Alligator mississippiensis: one gene and its partners. The protein of the gene in region 2 purifies or fractionates together with the protein of the main gene of each other region. This does not show direct contact. Links are inferred from orthologs where the notes say so. Each region holds a gene or a part of one and is shown on either strand. Other genes may lie near its edges.

Region 1 (10,328 bases), on a different chromosome or scaffold from region 2:
ATAAACCAAGCAGCAGACTGATAAAACACCTCTTCTGCACCTATTCTTACTTTTCTTTCTCTTTCCTGACCAATCTGCAAATACAAAACAAAAACCTGGGACAAGTTCCCTTTTAGGTTGCCATGTGCAACTTAGACAATTTGCCACTGAAAGTGATAAAAGCAATCTTGATACCAGTGGGTGCACACAGAACTTGAAAGGAGAAACACTCTTAATGAGCATCATTCAAACAACCTTGACACAGCCCTGCTCTTTGTATAACCATTTCAGAGCACAATCCAACTTCCATTGAAAACCCAGAGAGCGCTCGCTTTGATTGTACTGAGGGGTCTCTCTACATGGTTGTTTAAATCATTAAAAGAAGCTTTAAACAAACATTTGGCAAATCAATGGTTTGCTATTTACCGTCCTTTTTTCTCCTCTGTGTGTGTGAGTGTGTGCGTGCGCACATGTGTCAGATCATGGATTCCTGGAAGACTGTTATGCTTATACTGGATCTGATAAAACATCACACGACCTATTGCATAATTACAGCGCATTTCATAATCCCTACAGTGCTCTGGAAATTGTGGAAGATCAGTTCATTTTGTGAATCTGTGCATTGTATCATGGATCAGAAGCTTTAAAAAGTTTGCATGGGTAAGAGCAAGGAACAAATATTTTGGAGTGTACGTCTAAGTGACTTAGAAACACAAATACACTAAAATCCATAGGACTTGTGTTTTAGTCATTTTTGTATATCCCACTCTTTGCATGTTTCTGAGTGAAAGAAATAGGTAAGGTTCATTTAGCCCTTGCTATTGTGGGGAGTGTTTTGTTGCAGAAGTACGGTGCTGCTCACATAGAATACTTTTGTTTAATGGTGTGTGAGATAAAGGTGATATAGGAATTGTTTATATAGCCTCACTTGGATTTTGATACTTTTCAATTCTATATAATGATATATATATATCTATATCTATCTATACGTTGAATGATATATATAAAATCAGTCGTCCTTTTCTTTTAAATGTGTATAGCAATCTTAACTGTATGTTAACATTTTTTAACTTCCTTTTTTTAAAGTATTTTAAAATGTTGTGTTTCTAATGCCACTGCAGACTGTCAGAGTTGCAATGGAAAAGCATTGACTGAATAATAATAATAATAATACATAGATATCAAAGATCTTATAAAAATCTATATACATTATAATCTGCATATAAGCTCCAAACTACCTACCCTACAGTTCATGACATCCATAAAGATCATTTGTCATTTGAAGTCTCAGAGGTCCAAAGTTTTGTTATTTAAAATGTTGATGGCAAATTTATTTTTCTTTAGGCCCATTTGCAATCAAACCCATTTCTTAACAAATGCATTTGTTCACAGGTGGACTTATCTACATCACTGTCTACTCAGAAGATTACCCTTGCAACCATTTGTAACCAGAAAGGCTAGAAAACTAATATTAAAAAAACCCAAAAAACAACCCTATGTTTTGCAAAATTCAAATCCTGTGTTCATAAATGCACTTGCTGCACAACTGCTGCATAACTTTAAAATGCTGTAATATTTTTAAATTTATTTTTTAATCCGGCAATTACTGAAAAATAATGATGGCATTCACGATAGGGTGTTTAAAAATTAATGTATACAATTACGTACATTTTGATCTTCTACCATAAACTACTGTATAGAGAAAGTGGCCACGAAATAATCTTGGGGATTATTTTTTTCTAATGTGAAAACTATATATTTGTCATTAGTTCATTCTTTGTAAACAGTTCTTACCATATAGGCCTTAAAGGTTACACTAGTAACATAACACCGAGCAATAGTTCCTTCCCAAAAATAAAAAAAAAGGTATAATTGGACACTACCCAGTATATGGACTTAAAATTGCAACCAGGAACTCCACAATCCTTAAAATATGAGAGCTATTTTCTATTTTCTTTCCTGTTTTATTTTCTCTGCTTCTGTGTCTATACAGATATATATATCTCTATATATATAGATATATATATATATAGTCTTCCTAGTTGCTTCTTAAATAGTGCTTCATTTCTCCATTTTCATTGCTTTGTTTCTGTTCTTTTCACTTTATCCCCAGCACATTACTTAAAAAAGAAAATATATCCAACCTACATATCTGAAAGTCACATTTGTTTGTTCTGGTAAATGACCAATGTATATCATGAATATTTGGGATGATGATTAGCTCTCTGTCTATGGTCATTAGTGATGACTTTGGAAATTCATTCATTCATTCATTCAAGTTTTTACGGGATGTTTGGAGATGCAATTTGCCTGTTCTGGGCCAAGAAATAATACAATTAACTTCTTTTGACAATCCGGTCATCTGTATCCAGCCTACAAGTGATACTGGCACACTCCCAAGAGCTAATCCCTGTAACCTAGTTCTTTCCCAGTATTTGTTATCTTATTACTTTGTAAGAAAATCACTTGTATTCAGTAGCAGAGTACTTTTCAGAACAGGGGAATAGCAGCCTGCAAATCGTTTTTCCCAAGTATCTTTTGACAAACTTGTGCATCCTGACCATTTCTTCATTCTGCCCCTCTTCTGAGCATCTAACACAGGGGTGGGCAATTATTTTGGGTGGAGGGCTGCTTACTGAGTTTTGCCAAGCCATCAAGGGCTGCATGACAGGCAGCCAGGGGCAGATAAATATTAATTTTCTAAATTTTTAGGGGCCCCGCGGGCTGGATAGCATGGCTTGGGAGGCCGCTTCCGGCCCATGGGCCACATTTTGTCCACCCCTGATCTAACAGAAACCTAAAGAACATTGCTCTGTTTGACACGTATCTAAATTACAAAATAGTTAAAGCCCACTTCCAAGAACAACAGAACTGTCCATAGGAATTTTTGCCAAAATCTGAATGCATTTCTAAGAGATGTCAACAGGAAGAGTGGCCAAAATGAGTAGGTTGTGTTCAGAGTTCATGGCCTACCTCTGTGATACAGACTGTCTGTTTCCCACCAGTATCGCCTGTCCAGCTCGCTGACAGGGAACATGGTGAGCTGGGTTCGTCTGCAGTCTAGTAGAAGGCAGGGAAGAGCAACCTGAGTGCAGATAAATTGGTGTTTTCACCACGGGACATGGTACCATGGCTTCCTACCTATCCTAAAGGTGCACCCATTGCTCCCATCCAAAGAGATCAGCTGGTACAACCAATGCTGGGATTGTCTTCAATGAAAAAGCCTTGTGTGAACCCTTGCAGGCTCAAGAAAGGGCCTTTAAGAGATTGTATTTAAACACATGGACACAGGTGGAAATTGGGATTTTTCTTAAGTAGAAGCTGACACCTTCAATACTGCGCCCGGTTTTGGTCCCCACCCATCAAAAAAGATATAGAATTAGAGAAGGTCCAGAGAAGCGCACCAAGGGTGATCAATGGTGTGGAGGGGTTTCCATATGGGGACAGACTAAAGGATCACAGACTCATAGAAAATTCAGGTTGAAGGGATGTCAGGAGGCCGCATCTAGTCCGACCCCCTGCTCCAAGCAGGACCAGCCCCAACTACATCTTCCCTGACAGGGCTTTGTGTACTCAGGTCTTCAAAACCCCCAAGGCTGGAGACTGCACCACCTCTCTGAGGAGCCTGTCCCAGTGCTTCACCACCCTCCTCATGAGACAGTTTTTCCTAATATCCAACCTCAACTTCCCTTGCTGCAGCTTGAGCCCATTGCTCCTTGTCTTGCCACCTGCCCCCACTGAGACCAGCCCAGCTCCATCCTCTTTGCAGCCCCCCTGCAGGGAGGTGAAGGCTGCTATTCAATCCCCCTCCATCTTCTCTTCTGCAGACTCAATCAGCCCAGTTCCCTCAGCCTCTCCTCACCAGTCCTGTCCCCCAGCCCCACAACCATCTTCGTTGCCCTCCGCTGGACTCTCTCCAATGTGTCCACATCCTTTCTGCAGTGGGGGTCCACAGCTGGACACAGGCCTCCAGATGTGGCCTCCCCAGTGCTGAATAGAGGGGAAGAATCACTGCCCTCGATTTGCTGGCAATGCTCCTACCGATGCAGCCCGGGATGCTGGGGAAGTATTTAGTATTTTGCAAACTTCTCATGTCCCCCCTTGAGCGTCGCATCTAAATGGACCAAACCTGGCCTCTTTACAGTGGACGATAAGATGAATATGCATCAACAGCATGTCCTTGTTGCCAAGAAGGCTAACATAGGGATTTATTATTTGCTCTCTCGCAATACGAGAACGAAGGGTCACACCATGAAACTAGTAGGCAGTACATTTAAAACTAAGACAAGGAAGTTCTTTAATGACCAGTGGGTCATTAAAGGGCAGAACTCCCTTGGCTGAGATGATGGAGTTGGAGCTGGTCCTGCTTGGAGCAGGGGTTGGGCTAGGCGTGACCTCCTGATCCAATGCATTCGTGGCCACCAGATATGGTGCAAGCCGACAGCGTAGCCAGATTCACCAAGGGACTGGACTCGTGCTTGGGGGCAACGGGCATCAGCAGCTACGGAGCATGGGAACGAGGGGCATGGCCTCTGCATCAGAAGTGCCTGGACCTTAAATGCTGGAGGTTGCAAGGGAGAGAAGGAAAACCCTGGTCAGACCCATTCACTCCCTCCTTCAGCCTCCACTCTCTGCCGCTGTGTGACGCTGGACACTGGGCACACCGGACCTAGGCTCTGGCGCCCTAAATAACAGCCGGTCTTATGTGCTGACGAAGAGAGAGCGCGTGTGAGAAAAGAAATGCAAGAATCTATAACTCTTGGTTCAGAGATGATACCTTTTATTAGACCTACTAAAAAAAATCGCCCCAAAAATTGTCTTTTTCTGCAAACTTTCGGGCTCACGCGCCCTTCATCCAGCTCAGGGAGAATTAAAGATGGTAAAAAGTCTGCATTGGCGAGGAAAAAAAGCAGACGAGGTTGTCTGGGCAAAGTGGTCTCTTTTATTAGACCAACTACAGTTGGGAAAATTGTTCTTTGCCAACTTCGGGGCACAAACAGCGTTGCCTGTCTGCAGCCATTCGGGGCTGGCCCCGACTTCCTCCTACGAATGAATGAACGATCTATGACTCGTTACACCAGCGCTTCCCAAACGTGTCCTCAGCACGACCCCCTTGAGGCCCGTTTCCCTGTGTCCCGGCCCGCAGCCCCCCACGTGCTGATGTTGGGACCCCTTTGGGCAGCACTGCCAACTCCGCGGGCGACCGGGGCCTCCTGCAAAAGCTGGCGTCGGCATCGGCGGCGGGGCCAGGGCTGGCGGGCACCCCGAGAAGCTGGCATCAGCGCCCGCAGTGGGGTACGGCCCTGTTGGGGGGGCACATGCCCCCTTCCCAGTCGCCTATGGCCAGCTGTCATGGTTTTTGGCGTTGTTCTTGAAGTCAGGAGCGTGAAAAACGCATGGAAATAGAGATAAAAGAAAGAGCTAAGGTTTTCACGTTCCCCACTCGTAGACATTAAAAGCAAGACCCCCAAATCATGAGTTGGCGACGCCGCCACAGCTTGGGGGCCGCTGCCTCGGACTCAGGAGGCGGTGAGCAACACCTGTGTGGGGAAGTGAACGGCTCTGCCAGCTCGCCCACCTCGGTGCGGGTCCCTGGCTGAGGCACAGAGGGGCACAAGGGGTCACCATGGGCACTGAGGGGACGACATGGGCACTGAGGGGACATAGGCACAACATGGGCACTGAGGGCGGTCCCAGGCTGTAGCCCCGCCTCCGCCCCCCCCACGTGTCACGTGACCCTGAGCGGGCGGGCGGGCGCCTTTGTCATAATGCGCCGGGTCACGTGGGGCGGGGGGCGTGGCGCGCTGTGACGCCTGCGCAGTGCGGCCGCTGCCCCGGCCCCTGCGGTTCCTGGTCGGGAAACCCCGCGCGGGGCCGCTGAGGCAGGCAGCCGCCATCGCGACGGGCCGGGCCTAGCCCCGGCGGCCCTCGCCTCGCCTCGTCTCGCCGCGCCTCGCGCCCGCACGGAGCAGCGCCGCCCGGCCCGGCCCGGCCCGGCCCCCCGCGCCGCCATGGAGCCTGCGGCGCCCGCGAGCACCGTAGCGGAGCGCCGCGGCCTGTGAGGCCCGGCCCGGCCCGGCCCGCCCCGCCCCAGCGCAGCCCGGCAGGCCGCTCGCGCCCGTCCCGCGGCCCGGGCCGCGTGCCCCCCGCCGGCGCGGCCATGTCCTGCGTGCACTACAAGTTCTCGTCCAAGCTGAACTATGACACGGTCACCTTCGACGGGCTCCACATCTCCCTGTGCGACCTCAAGCGCCAGATCATGGGCCGCGAGAAGCTCAAGGCGGCCGACTGCGACCTGCAGATCACCAACGCGCAGACCAAAGAAGGTGCGAGGGGAGGGGGGGGAGGAGCAGGCGGCCCCCCCCACCCTGGTGTGCCCCCCCCACCAATCCTGGTGTGTCCCCCCCCAATCCTGGTACAGCCCCCCCCCCAGTCCTGGTGCATCCCCATCCATCCCCCCAGACCCTGATGCCCCCCCCAATTCTGTTGTGTCCCCATCCCTCCTGTGTCCCCCCCCATCCTGGTGCATCCCCGTCCATCCCCATCCTGGTGCCCCCCCCCAGATCCTGGTGTGTCCCCCAAACTTGGGGGGGTACCAACCCCCCCTGCAGTCACATGGGGTACGTGGAGCTAAGAGGAGCCAACCAAGTACAAATGTTGTGTGGAGGAGTGCCGTCATCTTCACGGTAGCCACCCCTTGAACACCGTCATGGAGGGTGGTAAAGATTTCGAGGAGTACTTGCATGTGCTGTGGCAAGTCTTCTTGCTGATGAAAGTGTTGGTTACCACCAATATTTACAGCTTTCCTGGTTCTGAAGCCAGCAGAAAAATATGCGTGGAGGTTTTACAGGGCTAACTCCACACATTTTTTTGGTTTTGGGGGGGTCGGGGCGGGGGGGGGGGGGGAGGAAAAGAGGTTGAACCATATATTTGTAATGAAACAAGGAGTGACTTAGTCTGAAATGTGTGCTCTTTGTTCTAGTTTTATTTAATGGTAGGTTAGTTTTGTGTCTGTTGTGAGATTAGAAATGGTTATTGGGAGGTAGGAGTGAGACGCGGTGGGACGGTGGTCGTAGTGCCACTTCTTACATCTGGAGCAGACACTTTTTTTTTAAAGCCGTACTGTTCATATAACCACTAAAACAGTCTTTCAGGAGACTTGTTTGCATATGTGGACATGTCTGGGAGTTTCTGGTTAATGCAGATCATTTTCGTTTCTTCATCAAAGACCAAACATTCCTGGTCATTCACAGACTCTTTCAACTTCAGCTGGCAAACGGTCCAAAAAGAAGTCGATTGCTTCCCTGCAAACTAGTAGTACCAAGGAGTATACCACCAAGGAGGGTATTTGAATCTTAATATATTCAGCACAGTTCATATGACTCACACACACATCAGAAGTCTCTGAAAATACCTTTAATTGTGTCATGTGAATAGGGCTGATCAGTCATCAGGATTATTACTATTTCCTAAACAGAATATAAATTGAATCGACCAGTTGTATGGTTATGGATTAAAATTAGAATTAAAAATAGAATTAAAATTAACTTCCAAAAACTTTAGAAAGTGTCTTATTTTGTAATATTCTCATGTATTCAGTATTTTTCTTTTAAAAGAAATGCTGTCAATTTTAAATGACAATCAAAGTATTCAGGTATTGTGTCTTTCTGTGTCTACCTTCCTGCTTTTTTGGAATTTTTTTAAAGGCATTTGCCTTTTTTTATACCTTTTGCTGTGTGTTTATGCACAGGATACTCGGCTGGGGGGGGGTGTTGAAAAAAGGGGGGTGGAAATTACAGACAAGAAAATATGTCCTAATTCATCAAAGGCAGAGCTAAGATATTACTTGCATGTAGGTAAACATTTGTTAAGGAAATCAAATTTTAAAGATGATATGGCATTTTAAAGGTTAAGGTTTAGGGGCTGCCAGTGATGACACCGTCTCCCTACATATAGCTAAATGTTCATAATGCTGAACAAAACTAGGAGAGGTTTCTTTGCAGGCAGAATAACATTTACAGCGCGCAGTAGTAATTGGAATAATTTACAGCTAAAGTATACATGCTATAGTGCTTCATTTAAAGGGCTTCCCTGCACAAGAAAATTTTAAATGTCTCTAACTAGTATTAATGCTCTTCTAACAGTTATTGGGACCCTAATGTAAATGGCCAGGTGGCAAGGCTCACTATTTTAAGCACCTAGTGTCAAGAGTAGTATCTAGTTGAGAACAGCATCAGAATTAGCAACACTGAAAGGGAAGAACCTGAGCTGTTAACAGAAGAAAACTTACGGAAATAATTCAGTGCAGTAGCAAGAACATAGGAGTATTTCTAAAATTATAATCGCAGGCTAAGGGAGCAAGGAGCATATAGAACTAATCAAGTTCCATCAATATTAATCTTTTCCTCTGGGTTCTGTTTGGCTACAGTCTGACTTTTGTCAGATATTTAATAAATAAAAATTTTAATTACTGTAGAACTGAGCGTTTGTTGTTTGTCTATGTGGTTATTCAATCAAGAATTGAAGTAGATGTTACAAAGTGCAAAAAGTGATGTTTCTTCAAGACTATATGAAGTAATTGGTTTGTTTATAAAATACTTTATTAATCCATGTCCCACTCCCTGAATTTTGATTGTCTGCCTTTACTGCTCAGACATGGTAAGGTAAGGTAATGGATTGTGGGGGGGGCAGGAAAGAAGAAAAATCTATAATGAATTTGCCACCCTATAGTAAATTTTCATTTTGTTTTTATTTGACTGTACTTAATAAATACTCTAGTGTACTTTAATATTATACAAGCCAAAAATAAAGGGCTTTTCTGCACCTTCTTGTACTTGAGAAGGCACAATACCCAGGGAAACCTGGAGGAAAAATGCAGTTTCAAATTTGCTTTTTTGACCTTTATGGAAGAAGTGAGATTTTAAGAGTGATATGGATGAGTTATAATGGTGGCTTAGAGAACTAAAGTTAATGGTAAAAGATAATGTGATAAGTCATGGCACTTGGTGATTACAGCTTCTTGCTCAGGCAAGATTGGTAGAGGAATAGATGGGATTTGAGATGTAGCCGCGCCCCCCACCCGTGCAGAAGTTAGGGCAGGGTGCCCCTTGGGCCGTTTATAGACCGGGGGGGGAGTTCAATTAATGAGAGCCACTCTAATTAAAGCATCCGCAGTGTCACATCTATTGGCATCCCCACGCTGAAAAATGGCAGCGGAGGCACTTTAACTCTTTTTACAGCAATCCAGCAATTTTAATGTTTCGTGTTAGAAATGGAACACCTTGTTTTATACTGTGTATAAGCAGTATAAAGCAGTACTTGTACATTTATTGACGTGTGAACTTTGCAGTGAAAAACTTTATGCACATACGTAATTCCATTACCTTTTTCATTTCAATGAATAATATCTTTTAGGTAGTTTTGTTGGCAGCTTTCAAAAATGAAACTGTCAAGCAGTTTCATAGCTTGCTTTTCTTTGCCATGTGCTGTATAAGCTTTGGTACTTACATGGTGAGGATAAACAACGTCAGTGTTCTGCCTGATCTAGTAGGCAGTTTGTGTTAGGCTGGTTTAAACGAGGTAAGAAGTGCTTCACTTTGTGGCCTTCTCTATACTGGAGACTTGCGGAACTGGCTGTTATGCTTCTCGAGTCAGATGATGGATTTCAAATTCAACACTGAACATTTGTAGTATGCCTTGCATTCTTCTAGTATTAGCCAAGCTGTTCTAATTTTTTATTGCTTTTTGAAGCAACAGTTTTAGTGAGACTTGAAAAGATGGTTGATGCACTTTGGGAAGCGAGCGAGAAAACTGCTTGAATTGATTTAGCTAGTCTTCATGCACACCATGACTAAAACAGTTCAGCCAGAACTGATAGTGTCAAATAATACTTAGTCCTGCTGAAGTGTAATTTATTTGTCACGCTCACTTGTGGATGCAAAGTGTTACAACTGGTTCTAGGAAACTAGCAATGATTAGCTGACTAAATATGCCTGAGGTGTGCAAGTTTATCAAAGATTGTTCTCATGCTCAACCCCACTACTCCTACACAGGAAAAAATGTAAGATCTATTTCTTAAAGGTGACTATAGGTGCAGTAAATCTTTACATTTTGCAGCTTTGTGGCTTGCGAAGAGCTAGTAACATTTTTTTTTCCTCAAGAGTATTCCAGTGCTAATAGGAAGGAACATCCCAGGTACAGCATTGCCCCAGTGGTGCACAAACAATTCTTCTGCCACAATCCCATGGTGCTGCATTCACTGCTTAGGTGATTGGTCTACTGTTTCTGAAATTGTGTGGTCAAGTTGGCAGGAATCCTTTAATTGAACAAAGAAAATTAGCCACACTGTA
Region 2 (10,356 bases):
TGGCATACCTCAGTTGAAGTCCCCAGCCCTAGCTGTAGCCAACAGCCAATTTCTCTGGGGAGGCTAAAAAACACCCTGACGCACATAACAGGAAAAAGAGGCAGTGGGAGGGAACGGGGGCGGGAACAACCAGCAAAGCTCAGAAGCACGGGAAAGACCCAAAGTAGAAAATAGGCACAGCTACGTCTCCATCATCCCCAACCAGTGGCTGATATGCCTCTCCTTGATGGAGAGTCTTTCAATGATCACGAGTCCACAACTTCCCTATGCAGTCTATTCCATTGCCCCACTTTTCTCAGTTTATACAAACCTAGTTTATGTTATTCTCACGGTTTATACATACATTGCTGATGTTCAATAAAAAGTGTTTATACCAACCAAATGCTATGCAAAATACTCACCTTCAATATATACAGAAAGAGATTATTATTTGTTTCTTCTAACAAAAATATTGTCCTGCACTGTTTTACCAACAAAGAAATACAGCACTGGACAAGAGCATGAAAGAAGGTATAGTAAAGCTAAAGGCAGTAAGAAAAACCCCAAGTGGCTAGTGGAGATTTTAAAATGGCCATTTCATTAATCCAGCATTCAGCTAAGTGTTGCGAGGACTTACTTTCTGGAATAAGATTTTGAATCCACTGCTTTCTTAATGCAACTTACCCAAGGCAAGAGCAGGAGAGTCAGAGCTTGGATGCATACTCTGGAAATCTTGGCTGCAGGTCCTGCATTCAGGACCATGCCCAGTTCCTACTCTCTGTTAAAGCAGGGACTAACAGATAAGGATGGGAAATGGCTTGGACATAAAATGAAAGTGATGGAATTGAGTAGAGTTAATGTTTTCGGCCCTTGACAAGGCCTGTTCTAGGCAACAGAGCTAAATTCTGCCCCCGGCTGCTATGTTGTTCCCAGTAAAATCTACAGAAGTTGTGCAAAGGATTCCCATAGTGGAATGTATCCTATTTTAATAGTGATGTCTTAATAGCTAGACACACATGCAATTTAGTCAGACAAGCTGCGCTAATCAGAAAATCTATAGCTATCACTCTCAGCCTGCTGAATTAAAGCTCTGCTGCTTTCTGATAAAAACTGGCTGAAAGGCACAACAGTTTAAGCAGCACATCCAGTTAAACCTATGGAAATTTAACCTTTGTCTACAACAACAGTGAATTGACCTGTTGCTGAAGACAGCCTGGTAGCAGTGGGTCCAAGGAACTAGAGGTGAAAGTACGTTAAGGAGGTGATGAAGAAATGCCTTGCAATTGAGAGCTTCTCCAGCTCTATCCTAACCACGCAGTTTGTCCAATAAAAGGCATCACTCACAAAAACTTTTTGCCTTTGGCATACTTCCTGGACCATCAGGGCTATAACATCACTCCAACATTATGAACACAGGTTAACTCGTTGTCATCAAACCTCAAGAATACTTTCTGTAACCACGCTGAAAGTGGCTTTGTCCTTTAGATGCTGCTACTTAAGCAAGGGTTTGAGAAAGACAGGACTACTGGAAAAGCTCTATCAAGTTCCAACAATTGCTGCAGAACCTCCTGTCATTAAAAAAAAAAAAATGGTTCAGCCAGTATACTAGCAAAGAGAATCTCAAAACCCTGATCAGAGCAAAAACCAATGAAGTAAGAGTCTCCTTCAGGTGGCTCTAGTACTTCAGTGACTGCTCAGTGCTTTCCTAAAGAGCAGAAAGTGAAAAGTTGGCCAGAGCTGGAACAGAAAATACTTTGAAGTTCCATGAGTCATCGGCAAGATGGATAGTTGCAGAAAGGTGAGAGCAACAGTAGCAGCCCTGCGAAGAAAACCTCATAACAGGACTTCAGGAACAGAGTGAGGAACAGATTGGAAAAGACCTCTAGTCAGAGCAGATACGACATCGCGAGAGACTCTTACAGACTGGCTCAGCAGCCAGCAGGAGGCTTTCTTCCTGAAAGCATTCCCTCTCCCTTTCAGCTGTCAAAGAGAGCTGGAGGTGATGAAAGGGTTTCACATACATCAGACACGTAGTAGCCAGAGGCCAACACAAAAACAGTCCACAGCAGAGCTCCTGAGCAGCATCCAGTTGCAGCTGTACAGTGAACTGCAGCACCTTTTCCTTTGCAAACAGCAGAGAAAAGCTGACTTCTCTAATCTGATCTTTGCCCTGTCATTATCTTTTATGTGAGTCTGTTTCTGGTAGTCCATGGGATATCTAGTACCTGGCAATTCCTTTTGGCCAACCTATGTATATGGGTGGGTGAGGGCCAGTGGGCAGATGTAGGGAAAAACATCAAAAGAGAAACACTAATGGGATAGGTTAGACAAAGAGCAGGATGATGAGTGACTTGGGGAGATGGACAGGAAGACAGGAGACAAACAGAGGTGAGGAGCTAGGGAAAGAAAAAATATAAAGGAACAGAACAGAAAAAGAGACGCTAAATATGGCTCAGAAAAAAAAGAGACAGTGGGATCTAAGAAGAGGAAGAAAAGATTCAGATGAAAGCCAAGAAGGTAGGCAGAACAAAAGCTGAGGGGTATAGTTAAAGGCCTGAAAACCTGCAACACTCATGGACCCAGAAGGACAGACCTCCATCTCCAGCTTCCCACTGTGCAAAAATGAAGTTTTATTTCCTACCTAGGGGACATTTTACCATCTTTAATTTTCCCTGATGAACGGCATGTGAGCCCAAAAGCTTGCAGAACAAGACCAATTTTTTTTTTTTGCGATTTCTTAGTTGGTCTGATAAAAGGCATCATCTCTCTGAACCAAGAGTTCTAGATTTTTGCATTTCTTTTTGTCTCAGACCAACACAGCTACCAAACACATCCCTGAAAACCTGTCAGGTAGCTGACAAAGTCAATAAAATCAAATACATACCTGCCCTGCTCCCTTAGAGAAAGTACGGTTTAGAAGATGTACGTGTGTGCGGGTGAGGGGCGACTTGGATTTGTCAAACTAGTGGGGAGGCATCAAGAAAGCCTCTCAAAGGCTGCACGAAGCTCTCTTCAGCACTAGTCCTACAGCACTCCCTTGTGATAGCCACTTCCAAAGCCAGCTTCCCACATCCCCCAAGTCGCACTTTCCGAAACCCTAACTCCAGCCCAACGAGGGGACACAGTTCCCTGCCTTCTCTGGTGGATTAGAGACTGAACAGCTCCAGTGCTGGAGTTCAAACGTCACAACTTACCGCTGCTGGGGCAAGTCAATCTCTTCCACTAGCTGTTCCCTATGGGATACCAGTCTGCTACTGGGAATAAACACATTTTTAAGGCATTCAGCACACATGCATGAATAATTAGGCAGCAGAGTTAAGCATTCAAGTCAGCCAAGGATTTGTTTAGATCAGGAAAAGATTTTGATCTCTGTCCCGGGTCCAAACAAACCTGGAGGTGCTCGGGAGCGAGAGTTCAGCTCTCTTCGGCTCTGCTGTTGATTCATGGGGAATATTTGGGGGGTTACTGATCCTAACGCACTGGAACCACGGCAGGAAAATCCTCCCTGGAACAATGATGGCGGGTAATTCGGCAGCACAGCACTAAGGGCAAAGCGCGCGGATCCTGCTCGGGGCAGAGGCTGCGATGGCAGCTCCTGCAGGGAGCCTCGGGGAGCAGGAGACGGCCCGGCTGGCACAGGGCGACGTGGGGCTGGGACGCGCCGCTCCGGGTGATGGCGGCACCCCTGGGAGCTGGACATGGGGACCTTCTTCCCACGCTCCTCCACAAAACTCACGAGCACGTCTGGACGCGGCTCCCCTGCGCCCACCCCCCGCCCCACAACCTCTGTGGGAGCCAGCCCCTCACCCCCTTCTCCTGGTGTCTGGCCACCGGCCCCCAGCCCCTCCCCCACGCTGCTATGCCCAGCAGGCCCCTGCCGCCATTGGGCCCAGCCCCTCCCCCACTCTGAGGCACCCAAGCCCACCCCCCACATGGGTGTACCCCCCCATGGGACCATCCCCCCAGTGTACTCAATGGGACCCCCCCTCTAGTGCACCCCCCATGGGACCATCCCCCCAGTGCACCCCCCCATGGGACCATCCCCTCAGTGTACTCAATGGGACCCCCCCCTCTAGTGCACCCCCCATGGGACCATCCCCCCAGTATACTCAATGGGACCCCCCCCTCTAGTGCACCCCCCATGGGACCATCCCAAAGTATACTCAATGGGACCCCCCCACTCTGCTGTACCCCCCCCATGGGACCATCCCCCCCACTGTGGTGCACCCATCACTGGGCCCCACCCCTCCCCCACTCCGGTGCACCCAAGCCCATCCCCCACACGGGTGCACCCCCCCAATGGGACCAGGCCGCCAGCCCCCGCTCTGCACGGATGCCAACCCCGCAGCCCCTCCCCCCACTCTGGTCCCCATCCCCCATTCTGGGGTGCCCGCCCCCCCATGAGGGCCCAGCCCCGTCCCCAGGCCCCGCCCCTCGCGCTGGGCCCGGGCCCCTCCGCGCTTGCCGCCCCCTCCCCCGTCCCGGGCCGCTCCTCACCTGTGCGGGGGGAGGGGGCGGCGGGGGGGCCGGGGGCGGCGGCTCCGGCTCTGGGCGCGCGACGGGGCCTCTACGCGCGGCGGCGGCGGCGCAGGGCGGCCATGGCGTGACATCATCAGCGCGCGACGCAACGCGACGCGCCCGCGCAGGCGGGAGAGGGAGAGGGAGGGGGAGAGGTAGGGGGAGGAGGGAGGAGGGAGGAGCAGCCCCCGCCCCTACCCGGCCGGGCCTTAAAGGGGCCGCGCCCCCGGGGCACGTGGGCTGGTGTCCCATGGGCCACACGGCTCAGTGCTGGGGCTCTCAGGTGATCACCCCCCCTCCATGAGCCGCACAAATCTTACAAGGGGGGTGCTCTTGAGGTCGCATCCATATGCAGGGGGCAGGATCAGCCCCCTCCAGGCACCCCCAGAGTGACAGAAATCCGACAGCAGTGGGGTTAGGGGGGACCCCTCCCCCGACAACCCCCTGCTTGAGGCAGGATCAGCCCCCTCCAGACTGTCTATTACAGCAGGGGGGCTGGGGGTCATATCCATATCCAGGGGGCAGGATCAGTCCCCTCCGCAGCACCCCAGACACCCCCAGAGTGACAAATCCGACAGCAGGGGGGACCCCCAAGGTCGCATCCAGTCCAGCCCCCTGCCTGAGGCAGGATCAGCCCCCTCCAGACTATAAAGCACCCCCAGAATGACCGGAAATCCTACAGCTGGGGGGGTAGGGACCCCGAGGTCAGTCCCTTAGCTAGCCACGTCTCTATCACAGTCCTCCCAGAGCAGCGCAGGGGTGTCTGTCATGTGGATCTCAGGCCTGAGCTCGGTGGCATGCCCTATGTCTGCAGTGGGCTCAGCTCCTTGCAACCACGCGGGCATTAGCCCTAGGTGACCCGCTCCTGCCCTGGCCGGGTGCAGGCTGTATGCCAGGGATGGGCTTTGCTCGTGGCTTGCAGGAATCACCTGGCCACGACCCAAGGGGCTGCACCATCCTCTGGGACTTTCCCCTCTTCCCCAGCTGGCGGATCCACCCCATCTCCACAACTGTGGGGCTCCATCCAGCGCGGTCCTAAGCAGGGACGGTCATGGGGGCAGCTCATGGGTCTCCCCTGCGGTTCCCGGGGGCCAGCATTCACCTGGGTTCACGGGCTGAGCTGCCAGATGCCGCTGTCTTGTCCTGCCCTGCGCTTTGGTTTGGCTGGCTTCATCCTTGGGAAAAACACATCACTAATCTTAATAAGCAAGCAGTTCCCAGTCCCTAGCATTATGCAAATACACGCTAATTAGCAGCGCCCACACCCCCAAACCCTCACAGAAGATAGAGGCAGATTGTGCATTGATGATGGGCTCGGTGTGGCTCAGCACAGCAGTGCCAGAGCTGGGATCCGCTCCCCACTGCTGGGCCATGCCTGAGCCCAGGTTACGACGTCTGCAAATGCTCTTGCACCTGCAGCGGGAAGGTTGTCACAGCACTGTGAGCCCCAGACTGCCCCTGTCCTGTGGCAGCCCCTAGCAAAGGCCAGGAGCAGCTCAATGAGCTGTGCTACCCCAACTAGCACGGGGGCTGGAGACCCTCAGCAGCAGCATGCACAGCCCTGCCAGGGCAGCTCTGGGAGGCTTGTGCCCATGCCACCGCTATCCCTTAGGAGACCAGGTGGGGAGGCAATGGATGTGGTTTGGCAGGGAGGGCACCACCAGGTCCCTGCTGTGGAGACTGTGCCCTCCCCTCTCTCCACCTGCATTGGCTCCCAGCTGGGCAAGCTGCAGATGCAGCAGGGAAACTCTTGCCCAGGACACTTCCCCCACCTGGGAGCAACACAGGCCTGGAAGCAGCCGCCTGGGTCAGCTCCCTGTAATTACCACCCACCTGGGCCTGAAGAACCTGCTTTGGCTTCTCCTCCGCAGCCAGCCACAAACCCATGAATGCGCCCGCAAGGCCTCGCAGGCAGCCGGAGAGGAGAGCGGGGAGACCCCTGTCTTCCTGCGGAGGCAGGGACCCCACTAGTCCCCGGCTCCAGCGGGGTTTGCTGTGATGCCTTGAGAAAGCCAGTGCCCCATGGGGCAGTTCTGCCTTTGAGGCAGGGCTGCTCCTTTCAGGACTGCAAGGCATGGACAGCAAAGCCAGGGATCTCCGCTGAGCTGCGGGCCCACAAGCCAGGCAGGGATGCCCCAGGGCTGAGGTGTGGGGCTGGAGCTAGAAGCAAAGGAGTCTAATATTATATGGCTGGAGATGAACAGAGGGGTGCAGGGCTCGAGACACCCAGGAGCCCCCACGGTGGTGGGCACAAAGTCTCTGCTCCCATAGGTTAGCGAGGAGCGAGGAGCTGTATCAGCTGATGAGGAGTCCCCTTATATCTGCAGCCAGCCGCAGCAGCCAGGCAGAGCAGACGGGGAGAGGCAGGGAGCCCGGCTGCTGCCTGGTGGGGAAGGGATGGCGTGAAACCAGCTCGGGAATGCCAGCTGCTCCACCGTGTCCACCTGCTTCTGTCCCCTGGCTGCTCTGGGGTCCGGCGCCTTCCCCAGTAAGTTCTGCAGGGAAGTTTCTTTGGTGGGTGTTTCAGCCGCTGGTGGGAGCGGGGCTGACTTTGCAAAGAGGGGCAGCAAGGAGAGAGCAAGGAGCTGGAGGGGACGAATGAGGGGAGGGCTGGGGATATTCCCCTGAGTTTCTAAGATCCAGTGCAAGGGACCAAAGGAACCAGGCAGCTGCAGATAGACAAAGCACCTGATGCTGCCAGCTGTCAGGCCATGCTCCGCTCCATTCCCGGTGCGCTGTCTGACATGTGCTGAGACCCCCTTCCCCGGACTCCAGCTGCGCCCGTCGAACTGTTCTGGGAATCTGTGTCCATTCCCCTTCGTGGGAGATCAGCTGGACGTCGGCTGCCAGAGCCTGCGCGACGCATCCAGGGCTGTGGGGATGCACAGACCTGCTCCGTGGTGCAGCTGGGGAGAGGGTGACACCGGCTGTGAGATGCTGACAGTGGCTGTCACTTCAGATCAGAATAAAACCCCGAGCTCTGGCCAGGGAAACCCACCCCCCCGCAGTGCTGCATTGGGCTCCATCAGAGCTTTCCCTGTTGGCGGGAAGGAAGGCAAGGCAATAGCAAGAGTCTTTGTTCCAGACAGGCTGGAGCAGGAGGTTTTGAAGGGGGTGCATCTTTTTGCTTGTCCTAGTTGGGTCGTCCCGGAGGCCACCTATGTGGTTTGGCAGCAAGATTTCCAGCTGCATCTGTCTGACGAGCCCTGTGCCCCATGCCTGCATCCCACTGGGAGCTAGCGCGGGGTGACGCGGCCAGCCTGGGTGCCCCTGGGTCCAGGCAGCACCTCAACCTCCACCTAAGGAGCGGGGCACACGCAAGCCCCGAAGTGTGGGCTTGGGGGGGTCTCTGGCATCTGGTAGCCAAGGGAGGAGAGAGCGCTACGTTCCTGCTGTGAGGCAGATGGCATTGCTCTTGCCTCTCACAGCACATGGACTACGAGCTCTCCCCTCACCAGGGACTCGGATCACCAGACACCTCCAAACTCCTCAGCTGCTGGCTACATCCCAACCCTGCTGCTGGCTACATCCGTGGCCTTGGGAGGGGGGTAATCCTACATCAGCAAGAGGGGCTGGCCTGGGTGCAATGACAAGCATTTCCAGCATGCAGCTCCATGCCAGCACAGGGCCCCCCACCCAGGGCGCACACACGTGTAGATGCCCACGACATGGGTGACTCCATGTCCAGGAGGCATCACCCCACACCCACCCCCAGGCACCGCCCCCTGTGCAGATGCCTTCACTATGAGGTCTGATGCTGGGGTCTCACTGTGCTCAGCACTGTGCAGGATCAGGCCAGGCCAGTGGCGGGAATGGCAGGGGAGGGGAGCAGACGGACCCCGCAAGTGTCAGAGAGGAAGAGAGGCAGGCAGGATGGAGGGGGGTGGGCTGTCACCATGGCAATAAGCCTGGGATGAATAGAGACAGAGGAAGCCGAGAGCCCCCGCCCGCCAGCCCCCTGCGGCAGCTCAGCACCGGCAGCTCTGATGACCGGCTACTGCCCCTCGAACTCACTGCCAAGGCCTCGCCAGCAAGCACCGGGGCTCCCAGCCGACGGGGAGGTTTGCTAAGCCCCACCTCAAGCCCCAGACAAGATTTGCCCAAGTCCTGAGCCAGCCAGCCCCAACTCTACCCTGTCTGGGGTTCCTCCTGGGATGCATCCCCGGGATACCCCCAGCACAGGGCAACAGAGCAGCTTGGGAGAGAGAGAGGAGGCAGCTCCCTGCGGGAGCGCAAACACGGGCAGGCTGGTCGCTGACATGGTCCTTTCCTTGCAGCACCACTGAGGCACCCCTGCACACGGGACCCGGGGGGAGCAGGGCACAGGCAACCAGCACAGCCCCTCCTGGCAGCTGCCGAAGCGGCTGCAAGCTCCCAGCAGGCCGTGACGATGGAGAACAGCAGCAGGCTTGACAGCCCCACCAACATCTCGCTGGCGGGCGCCGACACCGGCCTGGCCTTGCTCGAGTACAAGGCCATCTCCGTCTTCCTGGTGCTGCTCATCTGCGGAGCCGGCATCGTGGGCAACGTCATGGTGGTGCTGGTGGTGCTCATCACCCGGGACATGAAGACGCCCACCAACTGCTACCTGGTGAGCCTGGCAGTGGCCGACCTGATGGTGCTGGTGGCTGCCGGGCTGCCCAACATCTCCGACAGCCTGGCAGGCACCTGGGTGTACGGGCATGCTGGCTGCCTCGGCATCACCTACTTCCAGTATCTAGGCATCAACGTGTCCTCCTGCTCCATCACCGCCTTCACCGTCGAGAGGTAGGAGCGGATGCCAGCTGCTTTGTGGCGACCCTTGCAGACCCAGCCAGAGCAGTTGGCTCTATGATGCCAACCCCGGGCACTTGGGAGCTGCTGGTCAGCCAGCTAATGCTGGCAAGCTGCAGTCAGGGGCGGCTGCATCTGGACCATGCTAGACAAGCTCTTAAAACCTCCAGGAACAGCCATTCAGCCCAGCTCCCAGGACATCAACACACCCTGACCCACACAACGGGAAGCCAGGGGTGGGCTCCTGCCAACACCCTGCTGCTGGGGAGCTAGTTATCCCCCACTCTGGAGATGTGCATGGGGGGGGTCATGCACAAACACGCCTGTGCAGAGCTAGTGCACACACGCTCCTCCCCATATCAAGCCCTCCTGCTCTCTGCTGTGGGCATTGCCCACCTTATCTAGTGGGTGAATCGGGTGTGAATGCTGCAGCACCGGCACTGCAAGGGGATCTGGGTGGGCCCGAAAACTGAGGCTCATGCTGGTGTAAGTGCTCTCAAGCCACCCAGTCTGGGCTTCAGGGGCTGCCCAAATGCATGGGGAGAAACCACCCCTTTCCCCAAAGGTCTGAATGAGACTTACCGAGAGAAGGGGAAGAGAGGCAGTCAGTCAATCAGGGGCAGTATTGGGAAGGTGTCCTGGCTGGTGTCATAACCACTAGCCCCCACTGCCCCTCCGGTGGGCACAGGTCTCCATAGACCCCAACGGCTCTGTCATGCCCAGTGAGAGCAGCCAGCAGGATCAGGGCTTTGCTTTGCTCACGGCCCTGCCCTCCCCACCCAGGTACATCGCCATCTGCCACCCAATCCGGGCACAGACCATGTGCACGGTGTCACGGGCCAAGCGCATCACCGCCCTGGTGTGGGCCGGCACGGCCATCTACTGCCTGCTCTGGTTCTTCCTGGTCGACATCAACGTGGGGCCGCGCCAGCACCTGGAGTGCGGCTACAAGGTCTCCCGCAACCTCTACCTGCCCATCTACCTGCTGGACTTCGCCCTCTTCTTCGTCACCCCCTTGCTCGTGGCCACCGTGCTCTATGGGCTCATTGGGAAGGTCCTCTTCATCGGCCCTGTCTCCCCGCTGGC
Region 3 (10,758 bases), on a different chromosome or scaffold from region 2:
TCACCCCTGCCCCCGCAGGTTCGGGTTCGGGCTGCCGACGTCGCGGGCCTACGCCGAGTACCTGGGGGGGTCCCTGTGCCTCCAGTCCTTGCAGGGCATCGGCACCGACGTCTACCTGCGCCTGCGCCACATCGACGGCAGGGAGGAGAGCTTCCGCATCTAGGGTCGCCGCCTGCCTGGCTTCCCTCCCGCTCCGCTCGGGGCGCGCTTGGCAGCCTCGGAGGCCTTGGCCGGGGCCTGGGAGGTCACTTCCCGGGTGGAGGACCCCACTTCCTGTGCGGGGGAGCCTCACGTCCTGCCTGGAGTGGCCCTGCTTCCTGCCCTGGTTGAGCCCTCGTTTCCTGTTTGCGTACCCCCGGTTCCTGTGGGGGGCGCCTCCCTTCCTCTCTGGAGCACCCCACTTCGTCCTCGTGCACACCCCTTGTTTCCTCGTCTGCCTATCCCGCACTTCCTGCCTGGCGGGCCTGTGTTTCCCGGCCTGGTCGACCACTTCCTGTCTGTGGACACCCCACCTCTTGTCCTGGTTGACCCCTGTCCCCACTTCCTGTCATAGCCAACCCCCACTTCCTGCCTGGAGGACCTGTATTTCCTGTCCTGCTCAACCACTTCCTGTCCCAGTCTTTCGTTCTTCCCTCCCCCATGCACACTTGCTTCCTGTCTCCCCCCCCCGTTTTTTCCCCCCCACTTCTTGTCCTCATCACCACTCCCCATCAACTGAGCGGACCCCCCCAGGACGGCAGTGGGGGGATGGCTTCGGATGACCCGCGTGGCCCTGCCCCTCTGGTAGGGTGGGGAAGACTTTGATCTTCGCACATGTCCTGCCCCCACCCCCCATGGACTATATTTGGGATTCTCCCAGGTGGCTTTGCGGCGGGGAGAGGATCGGATTCCCGTTGGACTCGTTGTATTTCACTACCATTATTAAACATGCAAATTTGGACAGGCCTTGGTGGACTGCAGGGGTCGGGGTCGGTACCACAGTGCCAAGTGGAGGCCGAGAGGGGTGCTCACTTCCTTCCCAGGAGAGTTGTCTTGGCTGCGGAGTGAAGAACGAGGAGCTGCTAACGACCCTCTCTCCTAAATGATCTCATTCCAGGATGTTGCTCTCCACTGGCTGTTCTCTCCCCTCCCATATCCCAGCCTCAAGTCATGGCTCCGCCCACAGAAATCGGGCTCCTGCAGCAACTAGCGCTTCAGCTTTAGTTGAGCAGGGACGGGGAAGGAAGCGTGAACACAGGAGCTGGCCCATGGGGCTAAACCCTGGAAAAGCCTTGTTGGGAGAGGCGGGGAGAGGAAGAAACAAGGTGCCCGCGTTGTATGCGAGGTAATACAGGATCTCCCCAGAGCTCTGCAATCAGGTCTGAGGGGAGAAGGCTCCTAATTACCATAACGACCTCCAAACAGTTAAGGATAAAGAACACCCCTCCTACTTCATACAGGCGGGGTGGGGATTTACCATATTGCTGTGTATATAACGCATCTAGGGTCCCTTTGACAAATTGGCTTATATGCTAATTATGCCATTAGTTTTGAGTACATAATGTTCTCTCCCCGCTGCTTTTCCCTGTAAGTGGGGGCATGTCCACCTGCCTTTGGCCTGCTCAATTTAAAGGGAAAGGAACCTTTTGGGTTTTGTCCCCTTTTCCACAGCGTGGGCATGTGCCACATCAGAGGGTGCGTGATAGGCGGCTAAATACGGTATGTTGCAGTGATCAGGTTCTGTTCATCCAAGATGCAGGCTGGATTTAGCCCCCTCCCCTGATCTGTCTCCGTAACCTCATTGGCCTGCTTGCTACCTCATTTTCCACTGGTAGGATGTCAATTACCTTATTTATTGGCATATAACTCTCACCTGCCCCCCCCCCACTGAAAATGGGGGTCTCCAGCTGGCTCGGGACAGTACGATTTAAAGGGGAAAATCATTTTGATTAGTCTTCCCCAAATGGCGGGGCGGGTTTCATCTGAGAGCGGTGGTAGTCGCACGAATACGGTGCGCTGGGAGCAAGTTACGTCAGCGTCCTGTACGCAGGCCGAGGTCACCACTGGGAAGTGGGCAAGTGAAAGGTCTCCTCCCCTCGTTAACCTCACCCCCGCGGCTGCTGCTTTGCATCACGCTCATATAGTGCCCGTTACTGTATTAATGCCTATTATCACAGTAATTGGTACGCATGCTCACATTTTTCTCTTTACCCTCTGCCTGGTCTCTCTCGTTTACCTCCTTGGTCCTGAAGCCTGGTCCAGCTGCTGCTCTGTTACGCCGCTACCATGGCAGTGCCCGTGTTTATTGGGGTACAATGTCACTTACCACACTTACTGGTATACAACATTCCCTTTTTTATCCCTTTCTAGGACTGTCTCGTCTCCCTCCTCCCCCTCATTGGTTTGAACCGCCTAAATCCTGGTCTGGCTGCTACTTTTTGTTACACTCATGTAATGCCAGTTACCAAATGTATTGGTGTATAATGTCGGCTACCGTATTTATTAGTATACAACATGCTTTCCCCCCACTCATGACTCTCATTTCCCTTATTCATGCCACCATTGGCTTGAATGGCCTTACTCCTGGTCTGGCTGCTGCTTTGTGTTATGCTCAGATAATGCCAGTTACTGTATTTATTGGTATACAACACTCACTTTTTTCCTCCCTCTCTACAACTGTCACGTCTCCCTCATTCATCTCCTTGTTTAAATGTTCTAGATGCTTTGATTTTTGTTGTTGATTTTTCTTTTGGGGGGGGTGTTAATCGGTGTCTGAATATGTTTCCTCTGGCTCTGGCTCTGGCTCTGGCTCTGGTTCTTCTGGGCTTCCGCCCTCCTCTTCCTCCGGGTCCGGGGCTGTGTCTGCTTCCCCCTCAGCCCCTTCCCCTTCCTCCTGGGGATCCCCCTCATTGTCTTCCTCCCCCTCCTTGTCTCTTGGCGTTTCTTCTTCCTGCTCTCCTGCTCCTGCAGCTGGTTCGGGGTGGACACAGTCCCTCTCCTGGCGCTCAGAGAATCGCGATGGCTGCGCGTCTCGTTCGGGGTTGTAGAAATCTAGCCAGGCAGGGAGAAACGCAATTAATTAATTAAAAAGCAGAGGAGGGAACAGAATAACGGGAACAATGAGCTGTGTTTTACTGTGTTTTCTAGTGCACAACCCGCCTATTTTTCTCCCCACTATACCACAACGCTAATCTCCCATCTCCGTTTCCTTTTGCTTTGCGTGCTGGTCTTGGCACGTTGATGAGGGGACAGATATTCTGCCACTTCCCCATCCAGTCGAGGGAGAGGAGCTTGGTGGTTCCTGGGTAGAGCTTTTTATAAAGAAAACCAAAGCAAAGAAGAAATGTAGGTGGTTTGGAGGTGGCGGGGAGGTTAAACATGGCAACAGGGGTGGTGCGAGCTCAAATCCAAGCCTACGCTGTGCTGTGTTGCATGCAGGAAAACATGGTGAAGGGGCACAGCTTACCGTAGAGCGAGGGCCGGGGAAGCGGCGGGTGCAGCAAGGCCTGAACGGAGCCTGGGAAGAGGGCGTCCACCTGCTCCAGGAGGGCCCGGCAAGCCGCCTCCCCCTTCTTCTGAATGCAAATGAGCAGCTTCCTGACCTTGGGCCCTGCCCCCGGCGTCTGGTTGAGGGCGTCGTATTCGTCCTCACTGAGGAGCGACTGGGCCACCAGCTCGTCCAGGGTGTTCTCGGGATCGCGCCCGATGATGTCCACGAGCTCCTGGCGGTGGTCGCGGACGGCGGCGTAGCTGCTGCCAGCCGCCATTGCCGGGCTCTGCCGTAGCTTCTAGCGTACGACGCGTCTCCCCTTTAAATCACGCATGTGGCTCATTTGGGAAGAGGCAGAAAAAAGAGTTCCCACCCCCCAGCACCTCTGAGCCCAACCATTCAGCCTTTTCCTTTCAGCCGTGCCCCTCCCAAAAGCGGCAAGGGGAGGCACCTTACTTACTCACCTACCACGCGCCTCTTTCCCCCCAAAACTCAGGGAATGGAGCTGGAAATGGATGCTGGAGAGTGCAGTGACATGGGAAACTTCCCCCCACCCTCCTTTCCCAATGAAGATGTGGGCTGCAGTGACAGGCATGTGATACATGAATAAATATGATCGTTTGCTGTCCGTGTCTCCCCTTTTTTAAGCGGTTTAGAAGTTGTATCCGAAGCCAAAGAAATACGATGGGTGAATTAGTCAGGCCTGTATTCTTCCAAAGGCTGGAGGGCCGTAGCCACCCCTACTTCGGCATGCTCTAGCTTCTGTATTTTCTAGCGCACAACAGGCCCCTTTGCTCGCCTCTGGGAGACAGGTGTGCATTACACGTCAGAAAATACGGTAACGCCCAGGCTGCACTGCAGGGATCAAGGCAGGAGAGTTTCTCTGTGGGGCAAAAAAATCAGCTTTCCTGCTTGATATGCACCCTCCAAACTTGTGGGGGCTGAGTTGGGGGCAGGGATCGCATGTTATATGCATGAAAATGCGGTAATAACACAGCTGCCGCAATGGGGATGACAGCAAGGGGGCTTCCCTCTGGGGCAAGAAACCAGATTCCCCCCTCGTGCACCCCGCCTCAAAATATGGGGGGGCAGGCACGTGCACGCTATACATGGGAAAATATGGTAATGCCAGAGCTGTTGCCTTATGGGAGGTGGTTCAAAGCAGCAGCTGGTCCTTGCCCTGGGGCAATACCCAGCTGCCCCCTACCCCAAATGTGGGGGGTGATTTCTGGGAGGGGGCAATAGCAGCACGGGCTAGGTTTCTACTGTATCTTCCCGCATAAAAGTGCCCTCTCCCTGGTTCCTTGTAGGCCTGATCCCTGGGGGGGGGGTCAGTTTCTCCCCATCAGCTGGGCGGGGGTGGGGGGAAGGAGGAGTCCCCCGTGCCCCTATTTCCCCTGCCCCATCCCCCCCCATCAGGCCAAGGGGGTGATGGGAAGAAGGCCCAACCTGCAGCTGAGTCACGCAGGCAGCGCAGCGCAGCGCAGCGCGTCCCGTCCCCTGTGCCCCCCGCCTGTCCCGTCCTGGGGGAGGCGCCGGGCTGGCCCATGTGGGGGGCGGGGGGGGTGCACTATTTGTGTCCTGGAGAAGCTGAAGGGGAGGGGGGAGCGGTTACCATACTTGCTTGTGTATAATACTCCCCTTGATGACAAAATAATCTGCTGCCTTGCAGAAGGGCCTCACAGCAGATGAGCGTGGCATGGAGAGGCACCCCCCCCCCGGGCTCCCCCCCTACGCTCCACACAACCCCGCCCAAGCCCAGGCGTCCAGGCTGCCCGCCCCACTGTCCGGGAGATGGGGGGTAGGTGGGGGGGGATGTGGGGGGTGGCAAGGACCATTGGGCTCCCTGTTGCCAAGGCAACGGCCCAGCTGGTTTAAGCCGGTCCAGACTGGTGAGCCTGGTGTTCCAGGGGAGGAAACCATTGAGCAGGCGTGCGGGGGGGACGGACAGCAAGGCCTGTGGGCCCAGAGCGCGACCCAGGCGTCCAGGCCACCCACCCACGCGCGTGCACACACACCTCCGGTGTCGTGGCATCGCACACACACACAGATCCCAGGCGTATAACCTGTGTGCATGTACATGCATGCGTGCACGCACAAAACCCAGGTGTCCGGGCCGTGTGCGTGCATGCACCCACACCCACACACAGCCCCCCCCCGAACTTGCAAAACAATTCCTCTTTCGCGTACACACACGTGTGCATGCACAAACAAGAGTCCCCAGGTATCCAGGACACACACACACACACCCCCCAGGCATCCAACACGCGCACGCACACACACCCTGTCCACAAAGGCCCCATCTCTCTCACCCCCTTCCGCATCCTGCACAACCCCCTTTCCACCCGTACCCCCCATTGCACACCCAAGTACACACACCAATTACACCCCCACTGTGCATCCATTTACACTGCTGCACACCCACTCGTATATACCAGTTCACACCCCAGCGCACACACCATTTACACCCCCATTGCAAGCCCCCAGCCAGCTGCAGCTTACACCCCCCCACTTCTCCCACATGGTTCCTTCCCCCCTCCCCCCCACCGCCATGAGCTCATCCCTCCCCCCCACCGCAGCCCCGCGGACTGTACCATTCCTCCTCCCGCGGGGAGGGGCAGGAAGAGCAGCACCCTCCCCTTTCAGAGCACGACAGCAACACCGGGGAGGGGGGCAATCCGCACGCGGGGGGGGGGAGCGAGGGCTCAGGGGAAATGGGGCGGGGGGAGACGAAGCTGTGCTGCGCTCCCCCCTTTCTGCGGATGGTAGCGGCCGGGGGCGGGGCGGGACGGGGCGGGTATATCAAGGCCGGGGGCGGGGGCGGGCGCGCAGTGCGGTGCGGGGCAGCGCGGAGGGAGGACATGGCGTCTAACGGTGAGGGCTAGGCTGCTTTTCGGGGTGCAACGTAGGCGCTGCAATTAAGTCATACAATGGTGGGGAGGCCACGGGGGTGGCAGTGACGTCGTGCAGTGCTCGGGGCTACGCATGGACTGTAATGTGAGGACTTCCGGGGGGCAGCGAGGTCGCGTGCTGGCTTAAGAGGGCAATCGTGCAGTGGCGATAGCGGGGGCCGCGGTTACGTCATGCGAGGGGTTGGTGGGGGGTGAGGGACGTCCAGGGGAGCTCTAGGGGGTGGAGTGATGTCACGAGTCGGGGCATGTCGTGACCTCATGTAGGGGGCGGGGGGGCCCCTGGGGTGCACTTACCTCACGGAGCAGGGGTGGGTTGGGATGACGTCACAACGGGCGGGGGGGCCTGCCACGACGTCATACAAAGGGTTGGGGGTACCTCGGCAAGCCCACCGGAGCGCGACCTGGCGCAAAGCTTTGTGGGGGTGCAAGCTAGTGTTCCTCCGTTTCTGGCCCCCGGCCGTGCTGGAGGAAAGCCAGCGCCCGCCATTTTCCGGGCGGGCGGGGCCCGGCGGTTCCCTTTATCCAGCTGCGCCATTGGGCACCATTTTGTGTGCCAAGATGGCGGCGGCCGCCGTCCCCGCGTGGGCCGGAGGGAGCCGGCTGCGCATGCGCGCCGGAGGGGGGCGCGGGATTTGCGTGGTGGCGCCTGCGCAGTGCGGGAGCGTCCGGGGCGGGCCGGCGTGTGCGCAACGGGCCGCTGCGGCGCCCTGGGGTTAGTGCGCATGCGCAGTCGCGGCAACTCCGACCGCTCTTGCTTCCCCCCCACGTGCGTCCCTGGGCGGAAGGACACCCGCGCGCGTCCGCGGATGCTGCGGGGGAGGGGGGAGCAGGCACAGCCGTGAATCCCAGGGTTGTCTCGGTACCGTAGCAAGTGCTGCCTTCCTGCCTTCCTTGGGGTGACATGACTCCTGCTACCCCCCTCCCCCGCTACAGGCACTGTCCCTTGTGCCGGGGTGTGGGGCCGCCATGCCCACACTGACGGGGGGGGGCGAGCTTAGGCTTTGGGGTCCTAACGGTTTCTCTCGCTTTTCTCCCCGTCTTGCAGATTATTCCCAGCCGGCGACACAGAGGTAATGGCACCCCCCCCCCCCCCGCCGGCCCTCGTGGCAAGCCTGGGCGCAGGCCCTCGCCTTCCCTGTCCACCCAGTGCCCCATTTCCCAGTCAGACCAGTGGGCCTGTTCTCTTAGTGTCTGGTTTTCCCAGTCCCATCAGAGTTGCATCCTATCCAGCGTCCCATCTTCCCAGTCAAACCGGTGGCCAGTCCTGTCTTATGTCCTGGCCGAACAGGGCATCCCGTCCTGGGTGTCGCCCTCCCAGTCCAACTCGCCCCTGTGTCCCCCCAGTCCAGCCAGTGGCCCGTCTCCTCCTGTACCCCCCCCCCCCCCCCCGGTCCAGCCAGTGGCCCGTCTCCCCCCCCCCCCCCCCCCCCCCGGTCCAACCAGCAGGCCCACTTCTGGCGGGTGCCCGCACCCAGGGGCTAGGAGGATCTCACGTCCCCGGGCGTCCTCTCTTGCAGCTACGGGGCCTACCCCACTCCGCCGGGGCAGGGCTACTCGCAGCAGGCCAGCCAGCCCTACAGCCAGCAGAGCTACAGCGGGTACGGGCAGTCGGGGGACACCTCGGGCTACGGCCAGAACAGCTACAGCTCCTCCTACGGCCAGACGCAGAGCAGTACGTCTTCGTGTGCCGCCCCCTCCCCCACAGCCTGCCTACCTCCTACGTTCACTTTCCAGCCCTGCCTTGCACATTTGCTGTATTCTCTTTTTCCCAGCCTGCCTTGTATATACATCTCCCTTCCTGGCCTGCCTATATCTACATGTTCCCCTCCCCCCAGCTGCCCTGAGCTCATGCGTGGATGCATGCATGAGATATGTACACATGTGAATGCACATGTGGGTATTACGTATGGACATACGCGTGCCTGTTTCAGCTGGTCCGTAAGGTTCAACTCTTCTTTTTTAATTTATTCTCCTCTGCGGCAAGAGAGGCTCACCTCAGCCACGGCAGAGCAGCAGCTCTCTGGTTTTGCTCCTTTGGCAAGTCACCCCCAGCTTTGTTTTTTGGCAGCGTTTGATCTCGCTTGTGGCAGCCTCGTTAAAGCATCAGGTCTACATCCTCCTTGCCGGTGGCGCTCTCCTGAATGCTTCTTGAGCAGCTTCTGTCTATTAAATTGGCTCTCATAATTTTTGTCTTACGCGTTGGGGAAACTGAGGTGTAAAGGAGTGCCAGTCCATAAGGGCAGCAGATATTGGGGTGGGCGGTTTGTTCACTTTTGGGGTACAGGTGTTGAAAGAGGTCTGTGTTCTCCCCCTGCCAGGTTATAGTACTCCGTCAACGCCACAAGGCTACGGGACGTCAACAGGGTACGGGAGCAGCCAGACATCACAGAGCTCCTATGGGCAGCCGTCCTCCTACCCTGGCTACTCGCAGCAGCCAGCAGCCAGCTCTTCCAGTGGAAGGTATCTGTGGGAAACCCAGGCCCCTTGCTCTCACCAGCACCCGCTCACCTCCCCTCCTGGAGAGCCAGGTGTCTGGGTCCCCAATTCCCTGTAATCTAGCCCAGCAGCACGCGGTCCTTGCCTAGAGAACCTCATCCTGCAGCTGTCACTGCATCTCGGGCTCCTCCCAGGGTTTCTTAGCTCTGAACACTACACCCCCTCGCATCCCCTCCCAGAAAACCCAGGTGTCCAGGCTCCCATTCCCCTCTGTTCTCACCTACGAGACCATGTGCAATTTGCAGAGAACTTGGGCATCTGGGTCCCCAGTCCCTGTGTGCCCCCCTCCCAGGCCAGGAACCCAAGTGTCTCTCAGATCCCCTGCCTACAGCCCCATGTCTTTTCCCTCTTGCCCCAGCTATGGCAGCAGCTCCCAGAGCAGCGGTTATGGGCAGCCCCAGAGCGGCGGCAGCAGCAGTGGGGGCAGCGGCTACGGCCAGCAGTCCAGCTACAGCAGCCAGCAGCAGAGTTCCTATGGGCAGCCGTCATCCTACAACTCTTCTCAGGGCTATGGCCAGCAGAGCCAATACAGCAGCAGTGGTGGCGGAGGTGGCAGCAGCAGTGGCTGTGAGTCCTTGGGGGGGGGCAGTTCGGAGGGGGGGTTGCTATTAAATGGCTTTCCTTTCCCCCAGTTGTGGGGATGGGGGAGAACCCAGGTATCCAGGAGCCTGTGGACCCCTTTGCTTCTATAGAGTTAGGGGTAGACCCCAGGAGTCCTGGCTCTTGGCTGTAAACCAACACCCCCCCCCCCCGATGTAGAGGTAGTCCAGAGGTGGGAAGAACCCAGGTGTCTGGGCCCCCCACACTGAGCTGTCCCCCTTTTTCTCCTGCAGCCGGCAGCTATGGCCAGGACCAGTCCATGAGTGGTGGTGGTGGTGGTGGCAGCTACAACAACCAGGACCAGGGCAGCTATGGTGGAGGCCAGCAAGACCGTAGCCGTGGGCGCGGGGGCTATGGCCGCGGCGGCTTTGATCGAGGTGGCCGAGGCAGCCGGGGAGGCCGCGGTGGAGGCATGGGGTAGGTGTCCACATGCTCCTGGTGGGACAGGGATCATGCAACAGCCTTGTTCGGCCTAGGTGGGGAAACACAGTTGCTTCCACCCCCCTCCCCCATCCCTGCCACTAGTCCTGATTTCTTTTTAAAGCTGGAGAGAAACTAGCTCAGAAGTTGTCCCACGCTTTCAAAAGGCACTGACTTCATAGCTGGACTGCCATTTTTATGGTGTGCTGATGACTTTGCACGTGTGCCCAGCCTAACTTTTACTGCTTGACTCGCCACTGGATGGCGTGATACATGTAACTGTGGGGCAGGGGCCCACCCCGGGACCCCTCTGTGTCCTTGGGAACATGCTCGGAGGTGTGAATCACAAGTGCCTGATTGCATTCTGCTGCTATGCTATAGATTGTAAATTTCGGTGCTTTTCCCATCATATATCACTTATATTAAGGTGGTTTTCCCATTACATACCACAGATTATGGTTGGTCTGCCATTATATGCCTTAAATTAAGGTGGTTCTTTAACGACGTATTTCAAATTTATGGTGGTTTTCCCAATATATACTTTTATTAACATGGTTTCCCTGTTACGTAGCTTAAATTTGTGGTTTGCCAATTGATAGACCTTAAATTGCAGTGGCTGTACCGTTTGTATGCCTTGTATTAAGGTGGTTTTCCCATGGTATACCATAAATTATGGTGGTTTGCCAATTGATAGACTTTTAAAGTAGGGTGGTCCTACCATTATATACTTTCTATTAAGGTGGTTTTCCCATTTGTATACCATCAATTACGGTGGCTTGCCAATTGAGAGACCTCAGATTACAGTGGTTTTTCCATTATGTATACCTTTTAATTACAGTGGTTCTGCCATTTATATACCTT

Evidence for each region.
Region 1: the proteins of ZC3H18 (region 2) and RBBP6 purify together in Homo sapiens (affinity purification with mass spectrometry; 3 studies listed by BioGRID and IntAct, counting the BioPlex papers as one, with this or other methods). This does not show direct contact. The link is inferred for Alligator mississippiensis from reciprocal best matches to the Homo sapiens genes ZC3H18 and RBBP6.
Region 3: the proteins of ZC3H18 (region 2) and FUS purify together in Homo sapiens (affinity purification with mass spectrometry; 3 studies listed by BioGRID and IntAct, with this or other methods). This does not show direct contact. The link is inferred for Alligator mississippiensis from reciprocal best matches to the Homo sapiens genes ZC3H18 and FUS.

The regions. Positions count from the first base shown.
Region 1 is NC_081836.1:58,480,070-58,490,397, forward strand, and holds the start of RBBP6 (E3 ubiquitin-protein ligase RBBP6), read left to right. Parts: upstream 1-5,860; 5' UTR 5,861-6,139; coding exon 6,140-6,305; intron 6,306-10,328. UniProt on the Homo sapiens protein: E3 ubiquitin-protein ligase which promotes ubiquitination of YBX1, leading to its degradation by the proteasome.
Region 2 is NC_081833.1:75,181,075-75,191,430, reverse strand, and holds the start of ZC3H18 (zinc finger CCCH domain-containing protein 18), read right to left. Parts: upstream 4,583-10,356; 5' UTR 4,477-4,582; intron 1-4,476. Other genes in the region: thyrotropin-releasing hormone receptor, read left to right, coding at 8,888-9,264, 10,054-10,356.
Region 3 is NC_081830.1:430,744-441,501, reverse strand, and holds the start of FUS (RNA-binding protein FUS), read left to right. Parts: upstream 1-6,290; 5' UTR 6,291-6,330; coding exon 6,331-6,343; intron 6,344-6,675; exon of another isoform or gene 6,676-7,043; intron 7,044-7,426; coding exon 7,427-7,451; intron 7,452-7,898; coding exon 7,899-8,053; intron 8,054-8,699; coding exon 8,700-8,841; intron 8,842-9,235; coding exon 9,236-9,444; intron 9,445-9,710; coding exon 9,711-9,894; intron 9,895-10,758. Other genes in the region: BCKDK (3-methyl-2-oxobutanoate dehydrogenase [lipoamide] kinase, mitochondrial), read left to right, coding at 19-163; nucleolar protein 3, read right to left, coding at 2,741-3,030, 3,446-3,746. UniProt on the Homo sapiens protein: DNA/RNA-binding protein that plays a role in various cellular processes such as transcription regulation, RNA splicing, RNA transport, DNA repair and damage response. Binds to ssRNA containing the consensus sequence 5'-AGGUAA-3'.